Linked DNA regions of Notamacropus eugenii. The main gene of each other region encodes a partner of the protein of the gene in region 2 in a complex. Links are inferred from orthologs where the notes say so. Each region holds a gene or a part of one and is shown on either strand. Other genes may lie near its edges. The genes, in order: ITGAE and ITGB7.

Region 1 (9,609 bases), on a different chromosome or scaffold from region 2:
CACAGGCTAACTCTCAAATGGGGGCCAGGTGATCACCCCTATGGCAGGTCTCCCGCAGTGGGGATCTTAAAGAGCAACAGTCTGCAGCAAGGGCTCCTCCAGAACAGAATGGAGGCTTTGTTAGGCAGAGTACTGGCCTAGCATCTCTTGCCCCTGCCCCCAGAGGCATGCCTGCAGCCTGGGCATGTTGGGGACTTCTTCCTTATCCTGACAAGCCTCTCCAAGCTCCAGGGACGGAAGGCCAGGCTGAACCATCCTGGGGCTCCAGGTATGCTCTGAAGAAGGGGCTGAGATTTAGAGAGACAAGGGAGGACTCTTTCCTTATCTCCATGAGTTCTGTCCTGGGCTTCCCCAAACTGATAAGAGAATCACCCTCTTCCTGGCAGCCCTGTCTGGGGCATGCTCCAAGTGAGCATCTATCACATGTATTGAGGGCAGTGAGCTCCTGGCAACAACAGGCCTCTATGCTGGGCTTCAGCAGCCCCCAGAGATGCAGATGCCATTTTACACCCATGCTGCTAGTCTGGGAGCCCTGGGGGAGAGCTTGATGGATGGATGGATGGAGGAAGGGCTGCCCCTCAGCTCAACAAAGGGAGGAGCCTTGGCATCAACATGGCCATTTCACTGAGGAGAAGGCCCAGCCCACCTTCTCCTCTGAGTAGTGCCAGAGCTGGCCCCACATGAGCTCTCCTATGGAGTCAGTACCCACACCTCTCCAGAATCGCAACTCCAAGCTGGGAGGGGCCTTTTTGACCTCTCTGCAGCCTCTGCCAGTCTCTCTCTTTCCTCTCTCTCTCTTCTCCTTCCCTCTTCCCTCCCTTCCTCCCTCCCTCTCTGACCTCGCTCCTCCTCAGTTTCCTTTGCTGGATCCTCCTCCTCACTGCACCCTCTAGCCCTAGCTGTCCCTCAGGGTCCCGTCCTGGGCTTTTTACTTCTAGACGAATTCACTTGGTGATCTCACTGGCTTCCCAGGCTCTAGTGATCTCTATGCAAACGATTCTCAGATCTATTTGTCCAGCCCTGACCTCTCTCCTCGGCCTCCAGGAATTGAATCTACAGCTGCCTTGTAGATCACTTGAAATGGCTGTGTTGTAGACTTGGCCAAAATCAAACCCACTGTCATTTCCTCTACCCCTTCCCCACTCTATAAAAGACATCACCTGCCTTCCTCCCAGGCTGCTCACGCTCCCCATGTCATGCATGGCCAGTGGCTCCTCCTCTCTTCTGGCCCTGCCCCCTCCCTGATGAAGACCTTCCTTACCTCATCCCTGGATGACAGCAGGTCTGCTGTGGGGAGGGGCATGCTGGCTTCAGGTCTCTCCCCCTCCACTCCGACACTGCCTGGTCTTCCTAAGACCCAGGGCTGATGCAGTCGCCCTCTACTCTCATTTGCCCCCTTCCTAACCCTTCCCAGTTGGCTCGTGACCCCGAGTCCTGGCTGTTCCTCTCTTCTCTGGGCATTTTCTCTGGCTGCCCCCACACCTTCCATGCTCTCCCTTCTCATCACCATGTCCTGACTTCCTTCCTGTCTCAGCTAAAATCCCACCTTCTCCCCTGAACCTTCCTCAGGCCTCCTTGACTCCAGGCACTGTCTCTCTGGGACTGCCCAAGTTCATCCTGTCTGGAGCTCATCTATAAAGAGGCCTTTGCTTGTTGTCTCCTCACTGGGATCTCCTTGAGGGGTAAGAAGGCTCTCTGTTTGTATCATCAGGCTTAGCCTAGAGCCTGGAACCCAGCAGGTGCTGAAAAAAGAGTGGCCTTAATGACCTTGGCTTCATCCCACATGTACCAGGGACCTACTAGACCAGAGTTTATCCATCATTTGTCTGGAGCTGCCCAGTTGGGGGGAGGGGAGGGGAGGGGAGGGGAGGGGAGTCCACCTCCTCCAAGAGCAAGTAACTCTTAGGGAAAATCAGCCTGACAACCAGCCCTGGGTGACAGCTCTTTGGGCTCTCAACTGCCCCAGGGACTCAAATGCCAATGTCTTCCAAAGGCTTGAGGGTCAGGTTCTTTCTGCTCTCTCTTCTCCAGACTAAACATGCCTCAACCATCCTCTGCTGTCATGGGCTCCAGGCCAGCCAGTTCCCACCCAGTGCAGCTGCTCTCTCAGGAAACAACGACCCTCTAAAATGGAGGTGCCCAGACCTGAGCCGGGAGTCCAGATGGGGTCTGCCTAGAGCTGGAGATACCTGACCAGAACCTCCCGGGGCCAGGGCAGGGGGCCTTCAGGTACCTGTGGCCCAGAGGGCTAGTGCAGCCTGCCCAGTAGTCTGGGGGTCCAGTTCTTCCTGGCCTCCAGGCCCTTTCCTCCTTACTTTCCAGACTTCAAAAACCACACCGCCTTTAGGCACGCCTAATGCTTCAAATGTGGGGGAGGACTGGGACAGTGAGCCTCCAGAGCACACCTCCACTGCCCCTGAGAGAGCTCCGTGTCAGATCACATAGAACATGGCTCCCCATCCATTTTTGGGAACTGGTGCTGAGAAGCCCAGAGGAGCATAGAAAGGACATGCCAATTTTCACTGCAAGCCTTGATTTTCCAGATCCACACTATCTCGATGGAGGTGCCCCTCAGCCCAACCCAGGATGGCATGATGCAAGGTGCTGAAACAGGAAACGGGGGCATTTCCAGGACCCCAGGAACTAACCACTTAGCCTGAACTTAGACAGTCTGGCCAGGGGTGGGGCAGGCCAGAGACAGAGAAGCCTGGGAGGATGGGTAGCTCCCCTGTCTTGAGAAGTCCAAACCGAAGAGCTGGGGTTCTGGGTTTCTTGTGGGTCACCTGGGAATGGGCTCTCATGAAGGCACCCCATAAAATACATCAGACACAAAGGAAGCCAGGTACAGTGAAATGAAGAGATTTTCTTCCCATTCAAGTTCCTGGACTTCCCAAGATCTCCCTACAGAGCCCAGGTCCAGAAGTCAGGGTTCCAGAGGCATTTTCCTCTTGTCTTTGACCCAGGAGGAGGTGTGGACCAGTTGGCCAGAGGGCCCCCTGAGGGGCCAGGCAAGCACTAAAGGGACCCCCCAGGAAGGCAGTTGGGGAGGCTCAAGTTTACTTACCTGTCAGGCAGAGGAGAGCAGATAGCAGCCTCATGGCAGCAGCTGGAGCTGAAGGTGAGCAGGGGGAACAGCTGTGGAGCCCCTCAGCTTCCCCAGGACAGCTCTGTAGACTCCCACAAGAACACACATCTACATAGAGCCCACAACCCCTGGGGGCGGGGTGTATGTGTGTGGGGAGAACTTCCTGGGTCTTCATTTCAAGCCCTACTCATCTCATCTTTCCCAGGGGAGCCCCAGGAGCTGAGAGGACCCAGGCCCTGGAGTACATAGGGACCTCACCTCTTCTAGACCCTCCCAACGAGGTCAGAGCCTCCAGAAAGTTTTCCCCAGCACTAGGAATCCTTGATGGAGTCCAAGCTCCTTCCTGACAGATGAGAAAAATGGAGACCCCTGGGGGAGCTCATGGCAGAGCAGGAGCTGGGACTTGGGCCTCTTCTGGGTAGTATCTCCAGCATTGGGACATGGATGAGCTTGGACAAGCTGTCCCCCTGTAGGCAGGGAGCAGGGATGGAGAAGTCCCCTTTTCTGAACAAAGTGAACTAGACTCATACTGTGGTCTGGAGAAGCAAGCTGGGGGCCCTGACTGATTTCTGAACTGTACAGGCCAGTCCCAGTTCCTTCTGCCTTGCGTGTGTCTGAGTCTGGCCAGTGCCTAGGAAGTCTCTGAAGGGGATATTGGGCAAGTATGTGGTGTCTCAGTTTAACCCCTGTTTCCTCCATGAAGCCTGACCTGACTTCCCCAGACAACCTTCCCTAGGCAAGGGCTCCCTGTTCTCTGACCCATTTCAGTATGGGTCATCCAAGCTCCCAGCACTCACTGACCATGGACTGCAGGCAGGGAGGCCTGACTTCCAGGCCTGAGGAGGTGGCATGTCCACCAGGGGCTGCCCTCACACAACCTCATTTGCGGCCTGGGGATTGGGTGTGGGCAGCAGAGCTCAAGGAGGGGATAGGGAGGACCCCCGCTCCTGACCCCTCATGGGCTATAGCCTAGAGGAGCTGCTCCTGGGACATGCCAGCTGTCTTCAATATTTGGAGGGCACTCCTGGAGAACATGGTTCCCTGGTCCTGTCCACAAGGAGCCAGATAGATAACGGGTGGCACCCCACCCAGGCCCTGGGCTGGTCCAAGTCTGGCCAGGCCCTGTGCGCCTGTCTGTGCCCATTAGCTCCTGATCTGAGTGACAGATCAGGAGCACCACCCGTGGCCCCTCGACCACGGGCAGTCCCTTTGGGGTTCACTGGTGTCTCTGCCCCAGCCTTGCCCGAGCTCCTCGTTTTGGCTGCTGAGCCCAGCTGGGATTCGAAGCTGAACCGCGGGGGCTTCCGGCCCCCAGGGCTGCAGGGGGTGAGGGTGGGGGTGGGGTAGGGTGTTCCTGCTCTGCTTGATTCCTGGTTGTTTTCTGTTCCGCTTTTACCAGTCAGGCTTAGGGGGTTTAAAGTTGGATCTCAATAACAGGAGCTCCCAGGAGTGGAGCACCTCAGAAGTGTGAGCCTCTCGGAGCGTGAGAAGGCTGGGCGGCTGGGGGCCAGGGAACCACCTAGATGTCCCAGGTGGAAGCCAGAAGGGGAGAGATCCGGGCTGGATCTGAGCTTGGGGGAAAGAGAGACCAACAATACCACGAGGGAGCTTTCCCAAACAGGAGTGAAACGAGATGGGGGGTAGGGGGAACTGTTTCCTCCTGCGGTGGGGGGCGGGGGGCAGGGGCTTCAGTCCCCCTCATCCACCCAGGAAGAGCACTGGAGTGGAACAAGATAGGCGGGGTGGCCTCTGCCTAGCGGGGAAGGAGCAGCAGAGACTTCTGAGCCCTCCCCCTCCTTGAAGTCTGGATGAGCCCCCCATACACACACATCCTTCCCCCTCTCCATATACACACCCCCATCCCACTCCATGGGGTCTGGGTGAACCCTTGTTAGGGACACTCTTGTCTGTCCAGGGATGCCCTGATCCAGGGTCATCCATCTGTTGACTGGATGCCTTAGAGGTCCTTCCAACTCAATGACTCAGTGATTTCTGCCTAAGGTCCTGGTCAGTCTCAAGCAGAGAAGGGGCTCCCCCTGCTCCTTGAAGAGATTCAAAATTAGGGTGGATCATCTTGAATTTGAGAATTAGGGCCGCCTAGTGACCAGAGAGGTGACTATATGGTGTGACTAGGACAGGGGAGGGTGGGGGAAGGAACTCCCAAAGCTAAAATAGTCAGAGTATAGGGTCATCCAGTCCACCCTCTCCCATTTTATGGCTAAAAAAAATGGGCATTTCCTCTTTTATGAGGCCGTTGGACCAGATGGATCTTGGAAAGTTGGAAGGGACTTTAGCTTCCATCCATGAAAGGAATCCCCACCATGGCAGCCTTCCCTTTGAGATATCTTGTCCAGCACCCACTGCCCCAAGGCAGCGTGTTGAGGCAGAATCCTTCCGAGCTTGGACAATCCTGGGGAAACTGGTTTGTTCGGGATCTTGGAGAGTCAGCCTGAGAGGGGCCAACTGGAGGGGAGGTGAGGCCATGTCTGTTTTGGGTACAGTTGTTGACTTCCCCCAAGAAATAACAGCATCTTCCAGTGCTGACCATCAGCCTATCTTCTGTCACTTGCTTAGTTGGAGTGGCCAAGGGTTCAAGGCCTTAGGGGCTAGTGCAGAACTGGCTCACTCAATAAGGGCAGAGAATGGGAAGGGAGGAAAGAGTAGCCAGCGCTGGTCAGGGTGATGGCCCAGGAGGGAACTGAGGCCAATGGCAGTAATGCATAGGTAGGGATTCAAGGTTCTCTTCAGATAAAGGAATTTCAGAGTTTTTGGATGCAGAAGGGGGACATTTGTGGGTGACAGTAAGACCCAGGATGTGTGGCTGAGGGGGATGGAGGAAGGAGGAGGGCCTGGGGGTGGCAATGGGGAACTAGGACCCTGAGCCCAGAGGAGTGAATGAAGACACACCCAGTACTGGAGAAGGAGGCCAGGCCATCAAGGGGAGTCAGGTTTTAGTAAGAACTGGTAGATGCAAAGAATTGGAAAGGAATACTTTTAAGATGGAGGAAAGTTTGTTGCTTATGGAACAGACATGGCACATTGGAAGGGTTGGGTGGGAGGATGAAGATTTTGGTGGGGGAGGATTGAGGGAGATGGGAATGAATGAGGTGGTGAGGGGTGAAGACTGGGTTTGGATAATCCCTGAGGTTTGAAGAGGATGACCAAGTGTGAGCATGTCTTCCTTGCATGGACTGGAGGCACCAGTTGGGCAGGTGGCCAGGTGGGTAGCCCTGTTCCACAAATCCTCCTCACTCCAGTGGCTGGAGATGAGGCAGGAAAAGGAAGGTGGAAGGTAATTTCTGTCCTTGCTGTCCAGTCAGTAAATGTCTTTTTTTGTAAAAGATAATAAATGTTAATGGGTTAGATTGATCTTAGAGCTGCCAGTCACTCAAGAGAATAGAGGAGACATTAACTGGCACAGGAATTGACTTGGGGACAATTTATAGAAGAACATACAGGACAGAAAGACTAGTTTCTTCCTTGAGAAGATGAAGGATACGAAAGGGGCAGAGGAATCCTGCCTCGCCAGAAAGCTGGATAAAGATGATGGAGGATAAAGGTGATGGAGAACGGGGGGAGAATGGAACCCTTGGTATCAGGGAAGTTAGGAGCCCCCTCCACCCCATACCGGTGTGAGCTGGGCTGTCTCAGGAAGAGGCTCCTTCTGGTCCTCCAAGGAGGTCGTGTGTGGGGGAACTGACAGGATGTAACAATCAGGGCCAGAAGAGAGAAGTGCTGGCAGGCAGAGCCTTCCTAGCCCAGAGGGACAACCACTGTCTCCATAGGCACACATGTGGCATGAGAGGGCTTCAGAGGCTGGCCCCACCCCAAGGCTCCCACAAAGTACTGCCATGGGTCCTAAAGTCCTGGACAAAAACTAGGAACCAGGGATGTTTTCATCACTAATTGAAGGTGGAAGGTTCAAGAGAGAAAGGAGGATGCAGAATAAGCTGGATAAGGAGGCAGTGAAGGCTGACATTTGGATTTGGGGACCACAAAGTTGGGAGAGGGGCACAGGAAGCTGGAGGGGGAGGGAAAAAACCACCATCAGGCAAGATCTCCTACAGAAGATGGGCCAGCCTCGAAGAAAGCCAGAGTATTGTGTCCAGGCTGTTAGGTGGTGCTGTGGAGAGAGTGCGTGGCCTGGAGTCTGAAAGACCCAAGTTCAAATCCAGCTTCTGACACCTCCTAGCTGGATGACCGTAGGCAAGTCACATAACCACTGTCTGCCTGAGGCTCCTTGTCTGCAAAATGGGGAAACTGAGCAGTAGCACGCCTCTCAGGGTTATGAGGGCCAATGAGATATTTGTGAAGCGCTGTGTAAATGTTAGCTTTTTAAAAAATTACCTCATGAAAAGGAATCTTCTGATAGGCCACTGGGCCAGAAGTGATAATGTTTACAGATCTTGACCCCTGAATTTGGCCTCTTGGGTATTTCTTCCTGTTCTTTGGGGAAGGGGTGTCAGGCTAGGCTGTGATCTTGGCAGCTTGGAAGGGTAGGTAGGGCTGAAGACCAGGATAGATGGTGAAGGGAGCCAGACAACCAAGGGGAGGGGAAGGGAATGGTCATTTATGCAGCACATACTGGGGGCCAGGCACTGGGCCAAATTACTCAGCTTTTGGCTCCCCACACTTGTGAGGGAACTCAGGAGAAACTGAGGCAGGGAGAGGGGAAATGCTTTGTCCTTTCTGTTCTCATTCCATTTTCTCAACAACTATCTCTTTGTAGAAAGTTAAATGATATGACCTCTCCTAACAGATGATTAACACTGGAACACACTGGAATGGGGGCTCTGGACAGTATCATCAGAAAGGCAGCCTGGCCCCGCAGGGGTACCCCAATAGCCCTTCAGGGAAGGCATAGCCTTGCCTCAAGGAATCCTTCAGCAGTGTGAAGGAGCTGGGATCCCCAGTTTATAAAGATTACATCAGAAATACGTAGAGAATTGAGTCAAATTTGTAAGAATGAGTCATTCCACCTGAATAAGTTGTGGCATATGAATGTAATGGAATACTATGGTGAGCAGGCAGACTTCAGAAAAGCCTGGAAAGACTTGACATGAACTGATGCAGAGTGAAGGGAGCAGAACCAGGAGAACATCGTGCACAGTAACAGCAACATTGTAACCATGACCAGCTTTGATAAACTTAGCCCTTCTCAGCAACGCAATGATCCAAGATGACTCCAAAAATGTCCACATCCAGAAAAGAACTACGCAGTCTGAACGCAGATCAAAGCAGGCTATTTGCTCCCTTTTTTGGGGTGGTTTTCCCCTTTGGTCCTGATTTTTCTTTCACATGACTAATGTGGAAATAGGTATAACATGACTGTACATGTACTATAGGCAGATTGTCTGCTGTCTTGGCGGGGGGGGAGGAGATTTAGAACTCAAAATTTTATAGAAGTGAATGTTGAAAACTATCCTTACATGTATTTGGAAAAAATAAAATATTAAGTCGGGGGCGGGGGAGAGAAAGGATTTGAGTCATTCCCTAATACATGGTCAAAGGATAGGAACAGGCAGTTTTCAAAGAAATCAAAGGTCTCTCTAGACACATGAAGAAATGCTCCAAATCACTATAGATCAGAGAAATGCAAATAAAAACAACTCTGAGGTACCACTTCACATCCATCAGATCGGCTAGCAAGACAAAAAAGAAAAATGACCAATGTTGGAAAGGATGTGGGAAAATGGACACTAACGCATTGTTGGTGGAGGTGTGAACTGATCCAACCATTCTGGAGAGAAATTTGGAATCATACCCAAAGGGCTATACCAGCAATACTGCTGCTAGGTCTGTATCCCAAATAGATTTTCTTAAAAACGGGGAAAGGTGCTACTTGTACAAGAGGATTCAGAGCAGTTCTTGTTGTGGTAGCAAAGTTGGGAATCAAAGGCACGCCCATCAGTCAGGGAACGGCTGAACAAGCTGTGGTATATGAATGTGATGGAAGAAATGAGAAGGTGGATTTCAGAGAAAACCTGGACTTACATGAACTGACACAAAGTGGAACGAGCAGAATCAGAACATGACGCAGCAGCAGCAACAGTCACAGTAATTAACTGGGAATGATTTTGCTTTTCTCAGCAACAGAATGATCCAAGACAATTTCAAAGGACTTGTGCTGAAAACCTCTCTCTCCCTCCATCAAAAGAAAGTGACCGTGTCCAAATGCAGAGCCAAGCAGACTCTGTTGCTTTTTTCTTAAGTTCAAGTTTTCTTCCACAAAATGACTGATATGGAAATGTTTGACATGACTGCACATGTACTATGTGTACCAGACTGCTTACTGTTGGGGGGGGCAGCTCAGAGAAAAGGAGCAAGAAATAAAATTAGAAGCTCAGAACTTAAAAAAAAACTCAAACGTTAAAAACTGTTTTTACGTGTAATTGGGGAAAAAATAAACTATTATTTTTTAAGAAAAAGACTGCATCAGAATTCTTGCAAGGTCAAAGGAAAGCCAGATTTGGGGTGAGTGGATTTCACAGGAATCAGAAAAAGGTTATTTATGCAGGTCTACA
Region 2 (8,688 bases):
CTACAAGTCCAGGGCCCCACCTTTGCGGTAAACTGGGATGTTCGGGGAGAGAGCCCAGACCTTAGACAACTCTGGAGTCCAGATATAGACAGCCTCACGTGTACAAGGTGAAGGGGAGGGTCTTCAGAGATACAAAGTAGCCTGAGGGGCTGGAGACCAGGCCAGGTGTGTGTCTGGAGGCTGTCCTGGTTTAGGGGTAGCCTGGGATGTGCTGAACTCACCAATGCGCACCGAGCGGGTGACTCCCCGCAGCTGGACCAGGAGCGCGTGCCCCAGCTGGCGCACTCGCTCCAGGTCGTCTTTCATTGAGTAGCTGAGGTCCATGAGGTAGTACAGGTCCACCGGATAGCCCTCCACTCGACGGAAGCGGACCCGGAGCCGCTGTGTCTCGCCTGTGGGTGGGGTCCCGGCCAGACCGGGGGACGGTCATCATCCCTTCCAAGTGCTCGCGGGCCGGGCCAGGCTTCCCAGCCCAGCTCCGTAGGGTTGGGATCCCTTCTCCTGCCCTCCAGCCGCCCCCAGCCCAGTCCGTCCCTCCCTCGCCCCCAGGCTCACCCGGCCGCAGCTTAACCCGCACCCTCTGCGGGGCCAGCTGCGTGGCGTCGTCGCCCTCTGCGCCCTGGCTGAGGGGCTCATCTTGTAGCACGTCCTGCTGTCCTCGGGGCTCCTCCAGCTCGTCGGAGGGGCAGCCCCGGGCCAGCAGCTCCCCACGCCGGGCGCACCGCCGCCCCTCAGCCTCCCCTACCGCGGTGAAGTTCTGGGGGCCGGGAGAGAAGCCGGTTAGGGAGCCACGTGCGTCCCACCCTGTCCGGCATCCGATCCAGCATCCCCGGCGTCCTTCATTCTCCGTGAATCCTTAGTTGCACTCTCTCCCAGGCCTGACTTCGCAGTTTCTCAATGCAAAAGCCCTGGACTCCCTTCCCCATCCTACGGTCCCCTCCCTGCGTACAGAGCTTCCAAACCACGGCCCAAGGTCCAGGCCCTCAAACTTCCTGTACAGAGCCCGAGGTGACACGCAAAAAAGAAAGCCGGGCCCCCACTGCCACGCACAGCACCCACCACACACACACACACTCAGTCACTTGTGCCATACGCAGACCCAGACTCATCCAATCACAGCCCAGAATGCCCCCTCACCAGTTGCTTGCACCAGGCGCAGCTGTGGTGGGAAAGGATGCATTCTCTACAGGAGGAGACTGATTGGCAGGCCCCAGAAGGTGACGGATCAGTATCTTCTTCCTCCAGGGTGTCATCTGTAGATAGGACCCTGGCATCTGGCTTCTTCTGGCCACTACTCAAAGCCAGCAGAAGCCCTAGGGATATTGCAAAAGCTCCAGCTCTCATAGCCTACAATGGAAAGCAGGTGAAAGGTCTGAAAGTGCTACAGTGGGTCAACTTTTCCCGTGAGTCTTTAAACTTAGCCTGTGGTCTCCAGTCCAAACCCCACCCCATCTCCTTATCTCCACACCCCAGAGTTTCACTTCCCCCTATAGAGTCAGTAGTTCTTTAAGATTTGGAGGGGGCCGAGGTCAGAGATGCACAGAGGGAGGACAGACTGCCTTAGGTTCCTGAAGGAGAGAGGAACCGGGATCTCAACTCCAGACTATTCAGTAAGGTCAGAACAGATTAGTTTTCCACCTTCAGAAAAGTGAAAGAATTGAAACTCAGATCTGCATTCAAGGAGGGAGTGTGATATCATTGAAAGAGCATGAGATCAAGAGTCCAAAGAGCTGGGTTCAGAGCCAGTTAAGCTGTGAGAAACTGCAAATTATTGGCTTCTCTGGATCTCACTTGCCTCACTGCAAATCAGTTGATAAGTCAAACATTTATTAAGCACCCACCCGGTGTACAGAGCCCTGGGGAACTAAAAAATCACCTATTTCCAAACCTGGCTGCTTGTGATCTAGTAGAAAATGAGAGGCTAGGATTAGATAATCTGAAAGATCCCTTTCCAGCTGTGACATTCAGGGATTGGAGGGATTGTCAAAGACATGCAGGTATTAGGATGGAAGAGAAGGCTAGTGGTAGGGGGAGGGAAGGCAGATGGGAGGGATTGGGGAAAATAGGGTATATGGAAGAAACAGAGAGAAGGGAATGCTCCTGAGGACTGAACGGAGCAGGAGAATCAAGCTTAAACTTTCTAAGGATCTGGGGTGGGAGAAGGAAGGGTTGAGAGTTAGGAAACTACTCTCTCCTACCCCAGAGGAGGCTTTAAGGGTTATGTGACCTGAAGGCCAGATTGTAGCCGATATGAAATCTGGAGGGCCAGATTTCTAGCCATACAAATGCAGACGAGGTATCTGTGCGCCCTTTTTCCAGGGTAACTGCAGGCCAGAGCGAAGTGAGCCCAGGAATATGGGGAAGGGGTGAAAAAGAGGCAGGGGGATAGAGTTGCTTCCCCTTTTCTCTCCATCCCCCAAGCTCTAGAGTTAGGCAGTGTACTGAATCTGAACCGCCACCAGCACCCCATTTTACTAGGGTATGTGCTTTGAGGGGCCTAGGGCTTAGAGCTTCAGTCTAACCTCGTTTCTGTGTGGTTAATGTATGTGTTTGTGGGGGGAGAGATGAGCACCTTTCCTGGCTCTGACTCATTTCCTACAGAGCTCAGGGCCTCCACCCTTCTCGAACCCCTAGTCCCAGGGACAAACTCAAAAACACAGTTTGTAATCTTCACCTTCCTCTTATCCCTTTTGGTGGGGGAGATTAGTGGTCTTCCCACTGAGCCCCATCCTCCAATTTCTCTTCCACCCTACTCTGCCCTTTTTTCCCCTCAAATCCCTCTTTCTTTTACTCCATTACCTTTTCACATTTTTACTGGCTCTCTCTCTGTAACAGTCTCTCCCCCCACCAATCCTCCCTCTTCCTTTCTTCCTCCTACTGCTCCCTCCTCACTGTCCTTCCTAATCCTAACCCCCATCATCAAAGTCCAAGTTATGTCTTTCCTCCATAACCCTAACTGGCTCCCTCCATTTCTCTTTACTATTTCTTCTCTCTTACATTTACTTTCTCTTCCCATCTGAGTGTCCCTTAGTCTTCTCTTTCTCCTCTAGTCTCTTCCCATTTTTCTGATTTCTGTAGGTCCTAACCCAGGGCCTTAAATCATATTCGCCCTAAAGTACACAATCCTCTTGTTATTTCCTTCTTTCCCACACACTGGTAGGAAAACAAAAGCCTAGAACACAGATGCCCTTGTCCCAAGTTACCTTCCTGCTTTGGTACCGATGCCTCTGTTCACAACCGTACAGGGTTGTACCGTTGATGGACACTAGGAGAAGATGGGACCAATGCCTATTGGTCACCCAAGTCTGTTTACCCTCTTTTCCCTAGAGAACATATGCTCATTTGGGAGTCTGAGTTGGGAGAGCTAAACAGATATTAGAAACAAGATGTGCTGAGTTGGGACCCAGGGAGAAAAAAGAATTGCAATGAACTTTGGGGTACTAAAGAAGTCCCTTCCTTTTCTCTCCCCTCTGTCCTCCCTCAGTGCTCTGCCGAGAAAAAATGAGATCAGAAAGGCAAGTGTGCATGAAGTTATGGGGTCAGGGCTTTACGGGTCCCTTCAGGAGCAGAACAGTCATCTTAAAACCTAGACAAGGCTCCGGAATCTTCCCTTACTCCTTCCTGACCATGGGACTCAGAAGGTCCTCAGGCTGGGTAGCCCAGGGGTCCAGCCTCCCTGGTTCAAAAACTTTCCCTTTCCCATAGGAGGAGTGGAGGACGGAGTCCGAACTTGGAGGGAGCTACAGGTAGGGGGATTGGGTTCTCCAGTACTCACAGGTGCAGAGCTCTCTCTCTTGCAGTATCCGCTTTTGTGCTATTTGCATCTGCCGAGGGGCAGACTTGGGAGGAAGTGACACACCCAAAGTTGGAGGGGGAACTTGGGGGGGGGAATATGTGCGAGTGTGCAAGGTTGGGGGAAGGGAGGATGGCTAGAAGATACAGAGACAGGGAAGACACATGAAGGAGGGGCAGTAAAAAAGATGGGAAAGCCGAGGAGAAACTGGGGGGTAGTGTTGGTTGGGAGTCATTGAAGAGAGAGAAGGGAGGGATGGAGATACCTAGGGTAAATCTGGAGAAGGCAGAATGGGAAATGACGATGATGGAAGGGCTGTAGGGACTGGAGATCAGAAAAGTGAATGATGGGGGAACAAGAAAAGGACAAGATGGGGAGAAAAGATCTACAACTAAGGGGTATGGATTGAATGAGCATGGCAAGGCTGGCCTTGGGTTCACAGTTAGGGAGGAACCAGGACCAAGGGAAACCTCACAAAAGCAGTTTGGTGGTGCAGTTCATAGAGTAACAGGCCCTATATTGTCAGGAGGACCGGACACTTACTATAGCCAATGTGACCCTGGGCAAGTCCCTTAACCCGGATTGCCCCCCCCAAAAAAATTAAAAAATAAAGTTAAAAAAAAAGAAACTTCATTGTTTTGTCTGCGGTAGAAAGCAACATCGAGGAACTAGGGAGTATGAGATCAAACATTAGGAATGGGAAATGTGTTGGGGTGACTCTTTGCCTAAATCCTTCCCTTTCCCCATCCTATAGATACTAAGTAAACAAAGAGTAGCCTGGAAGTAGGAAGCCTGGAAGGAAAAGACGATGATCTGCTAGAGTTTGAGGAAGCTGCCCCCTAATCATCAACCCTCCTAAGAGAGAGGCAACTGATCCCCATGTCATCCACTCCAGCCTTCACTCTTCAGTAGTTTCCTCTCCAGGTCCCACTTTCTCCTGATTCTTGATTGCTTAGTTCACAGCTCTCCACTTGTGACCTGTTCTCTTTCCTGTATCTCCCCACTCCTGGCACTGACTTTTCTGAAAAGATCCAACCCCCCAATTCCTCAGTTTAGGGCGAGGTGTGTGTGTGTGATAGGAGACACATGGTCCAAGCTTAATTTTAACCTCGGACAAACCATTACCCCACCACCCCTACCCCGACCTATTTTCTCTTCTGCTGAGGATCTCAAAAAGGCTCTTCCAGATTTAGATCTAAGATGCTAAGGCTCTAAGGTTGTCTGAGGAATGCTTTGGAGGGAGAACAGGCTGAGTGAAGCACACATAGCCACACCCTCTAGTGGCCACAGAAGATATAGGCCCAGGTAGGAGAGGGGTGGATCTACCTGGTCCACACACCAATCCCTCCCTCTTCCCAGCTAAGAGTCCCAATATGGTTTCCAGATCTCATTCCCTTTGGCTGTATTCTCACATATCTGCCTGGGGGGGGAGGGGAGGAGAATGAGGACAAAGCCTGGAAGGGGGGAAGGGGAGGGTGGGAGAAGGGAAAGAGCACCTGGCAGACCACTAGCCCTCACTTTAGGCCTTCAGGCAAGTCCTACTAGCCTCCCTCAATTCCACCTCCCCACCCAGAAGAAGTCAGATCCCATGAGTTTCCATCACTTTATTTTGCAAAAATAGAAAACTCAGCAATATGCGATACAGCGGGAGGGAAGGGGGATGTAAACAAAGGGGGGGGAGGGGACAGCACCCAGCCCCCCCAGAGAAAAAGGGGGGCCAGTGGGAATTTTATTTGGCAGCTAAATACAAACCAGGGGTTGGGAATCAGAAGGGGCCCTGGGCTCCACCCCCAGAACCCCCAGGGGGATGGGGGGTAATTCCAGGGTGTAAACAAAAGCTAATAAATAAATAAGAGGCTTCCTCTGGGTAGGGTAAGGATCAGCTAAGCAGCCCTCCCCTCCCTGGGCTGAGCTGCTCTGGGGTATTGTGGGGGGAAGGCACTAGGGGTGGAGAGGGAGGGGCTCCCCAGGCCCCTCTGTAGTGTAGAAGGGTTCCGCCCCGATGGCTGAGATGGGGGGCGGGGGACACCCAAGGCACATGGTAGGGCTGGAGAATTCTTAACGGAGGATACTTCCCCTTTTTGTAGGGGAAGCATGGGGAAAGGGTGAGTACATGCTGGAGCCATCAGCAAAGAGGTGCAGAACGGACCTGCATCTGCCCCCCTTTACTGCCCCCAGAGGACTGGGGGGGACCAGCTACCCTCTACCCTGAGCCTGGCACACAGGGAGGCAGAGGGCAGTATGTGTCAGGCAGGGGGCATTGCACAGCGGTCACAAGGAGGTGGAGGCGGCTGGCCCAGCCCCCCTGCTCCTCCCTTTGGTCTCTAGTGTTCCTAATTATTCCTGGAGGTCTCCCCTGGCAGGGGTGGGGGTGGGGATGGGGATGGGAGGGATGGGAGACAAGGTCCTCACCTACTCAGCACCAACAAAGGTTCTCCCCCTTCTCCCTGCTGGAGAACTGAGGGATCCTGATGTCCAAGAGAGAGCTCCTAGATTCATAGCTGAGACCCCATCTCACCCCTCCCATTTGATCTCCCTAAAGTGGGAAGGAAGGCACAGGAATCAGGTCCCAGCCAGAAAATTATGGGAAGGAAGCCCAGTTAGGACTTGGTGAGGGTAAAGGATGGACACGTAGCCCAAGAAACTTTGGCAAAAACAAGGAGCTTGAACTGGTGCTGGTTTGGGGAATGGGAGTGAAGAGAGGGTACGTAAGATCCTCTCCCAGTCACTGGTGGGGATGGTCAGTCTGCTACCCGGGTATCTGATAACCCCTTACCATCACCACCACAGCAGGGGGAAATCAGGGGTCAGGGTCAGGGGCGGGGCTGAGGTCCCCATCACCCCCACCCCCTATTCCCTCATCCTCGCTGGGGGGCTCTGGTCGGGGGCCAGGCTGCGAGGAGTCGTCCTCAAACATCTCAGGGTTCTCCAGCATTTCCCGGATCAGGGGAGGCATTGGGCCTGGGATCTCCATTTTCAGGGTGATAGCTCGTTCTGCTCCTGTGAAGAGGGCGACCCCATAGAACATGTGATCAGAACTCACTGATTCTTCCCTCTGACCCACCTCCATCGCACTTGGGACTTCCCAGCGCAGACAGCCTACTCCAGCCTGACTGTAACGATCCCTCTGGCACCAGACACATTCCTAATGCTCTCACATCTCTGAGCTCTTATAATATTGACCTCTCAAACTGGGAGGCCTCTCCTCTACCCAACCCTATCTCTCTGCTTAGTCCTTCCTAATTTTGCTCTATAGAGGCAGCTGAACACTGGACCTGGAGTTAGGAAGACCAGAGGTCAAATCCAGCCTCAAACACTTTCTAGCAGTGTGACCCGGGGCATGTCACTTAACCTCAGTTTCTCAACAGTAAAATAGGAATGATAATAGCCCCTACCTCCCAGGATCAAACAAAAGAATATTTGTACAACACTTAGCACAAGGTCTGGCACATAGTAGGTGCTCAATATTTGCTTACTTCCTTCCTCTTTCTTCCTGGAAGCCTTTTCGGAGAAACTGTACCCACTTAACTTTCAGTGCCCATGTGGAAGGGCCCAGTTGCGCTCAGGGAGTGGAGTATATAGTGTAAAGAATTTGCTTTGGAATAAGATCTGGGTTCGAATGCAAACATTAACATGAACTAGTTATGTGAGCCTGGGTACTGAGACTCAGTTTTCTCATCTGCAAAATGGGACGATACCTGTACCATCTGCCTCGCATGGCGACTGGGGAAAGACTTTTTTTTCAAGTTTGTTATTATACAGTAGGAGTAGTGGTAGTAGTGGTGGTGGTGGTGGTGGTAAGTAGTTGTAGTTACATAGCACTCTAAAGTTTACAACAGGCTTTACCAATCTTATCTCATATGATTCTTATGATGACCCTGGGAGGTTAAGTATTATGATCCTGAGACAGGCAGAGGCTAAGTGACCTGCCCGGGATCAGAAAGGTAGTATGTGTCTGAAGTCTATTCCATTTCCCCCCATCAGTCAGGGTACCTCCAGAGAACAGGCCTCCTCTGAATTTCCTTCTTCTCTCCCTCTCCCCCAACCAAGGACAGAGTTCTAGGACAGAGGCTGGGTGTGTAGGAAATGTGGTTCCCAAGTGGACCCAGTCTCTCTCCCCAGTTCACTCCTCCCTCTATCACACCCTTCCCCCCTTCCAGGCTGACCCTTGGTACTGATGCCCCGAAGGTCAGTGATCTTCATGAGCATTCTGGGGAACATGTAGGGCTGGCTGGGTCGCCGCCGCCTTGCATACAACCTCAGAGCCTCCAAGAGTGGCTCCTGCAATTTGTCCACCTTCTCTGGTTCCTCTAGGTCCATTCGGTCTAGGCAAGTGGGGGAGAAGAGGCAAAAATAAGACAGAATATTGTGGGAAGGGATGGGAGAGGACATAGTAATAATGGAGGACTGGAGACATCAGGAATGGGGACCCAAAGGAGGGGGGACCCCACTGGGGGTGTCCTAGAGCAAAGCCTAAAATTGCTCATATTATCCCCACTCAGCCAAGGAAGAAGAGAAAACTTATAATCCAACCTGGTGGGAATAAGAAAAAAAGGGCTAAGGTAATCTCTCCCAGAAATAGCTGCTTTAGAGAAAAATTGGGCCTGTAGGGTCTGGACGGATAAGTGTGTCAGGAAGAAAAAGGCTATGGGAGGGTCAGTAGATACCAGGGGACATGGAGTACCTCCACAGATGAGGCAAATGGCACTGAGCAGTCCAGTCTCCGTGTCATCCATCTCAAGAGGCAACAGCTGCCCAGCAAAGGCAAAGACCAAGTCTGTGAGAGGCCCAAAGCCAGCATTGTGCATCTGGGTCCGATTTAAGGTGAGACCATCAGAGAAAGTCATTGTGTCCTGCTCCGGGGTATATCGAGTGCAGATCCGAAGCATCTGAGG

The links.
Region 1: the proteins of ITGB7 (region 2) and ITGAE are in contact, whole or in part, in a cryo-EM structure (PDB 8ZJF), measured with the Homo sapiens proteins. The link is inferred for Notamacropus eugenii from reciprocal best matches to the Homo sapiens genes ITGB7 and ITGAE. Residues at the interface, in NP_000880.1 of Homo sapiens: Val201, Leu202, Pro203, Ser206, Thr207, Val208, Pro209, Ser210, Lys211, Arg213, His214, Cys216, Pro217, Arg219, Leu220, Glu221, Arg222, Leu255, Asp256, Ser257, Pro258, Thr291, Phe292, His293, Thr294, Ala295, Gly296, Asp297, Lys299, Leu300; in NP_002199.3 of Homo sapiens: Phe36, Leu38, Arg91, His92, Arg93, Gly94, Leu111, Arg113, Leu118, Ser119, Ser120, Leu122, Glu196, Glu198, Arg230, Tyr233, Glu234, Phe237, Glu238, Cys239, Asn240, Ser259, Gln260, Val262, Met263, Leu266, Arg300, Leu401, Gln403, Phe406.

What each region holds. Positions count from the first base shown.
Region 1 is NC_092877.1:388,322,574-388,332,182, forward strand, and holds the start of ITGAE (integrin alpha-E), read right to left. Parts: upstream 3,645-9,609; 5' UTR 3,261-3,644; coding exon 3,065-3,260; intron 1-3,064. UniProt on the Homo sapiens protein: Integrin alpha-E/beta-7 is a receptor for E-cadherin. It mediates adhesion of intra-epithelial T-lymphocytes to epithelial cell monolayers.
Region 2 is NC_092874.1:226,141,133-226,149,820, forward strand, and holds the start of ITGB7 (integrin beta-7), read right to left. Parts: upstream 3,846-8,688; 5' UTR 3,776-3,845; intron 1,348-3,775; 5' UTR 1,345-1,347; coding exon 1,138-1,344; intron 758-1,137; coding exon 556-757; intron 393-555; coding exon 222-392; intron 1-221. Other genes in the region: RARG (retinoic acid receptor gamma), read right to left, coding at 6,594-6,793, 7,960-8,118, 8,478-8,682. UniProt on the Homo sapiens protein: Integrin ITGA4/ITGB7 (alpha-4/beta-7) (Peyer patches-specific homing receptor LPAM-1) is an adhesion molecule that mediates lymphocyte migration and homing to gut-associated lymphoid tissue (GALT).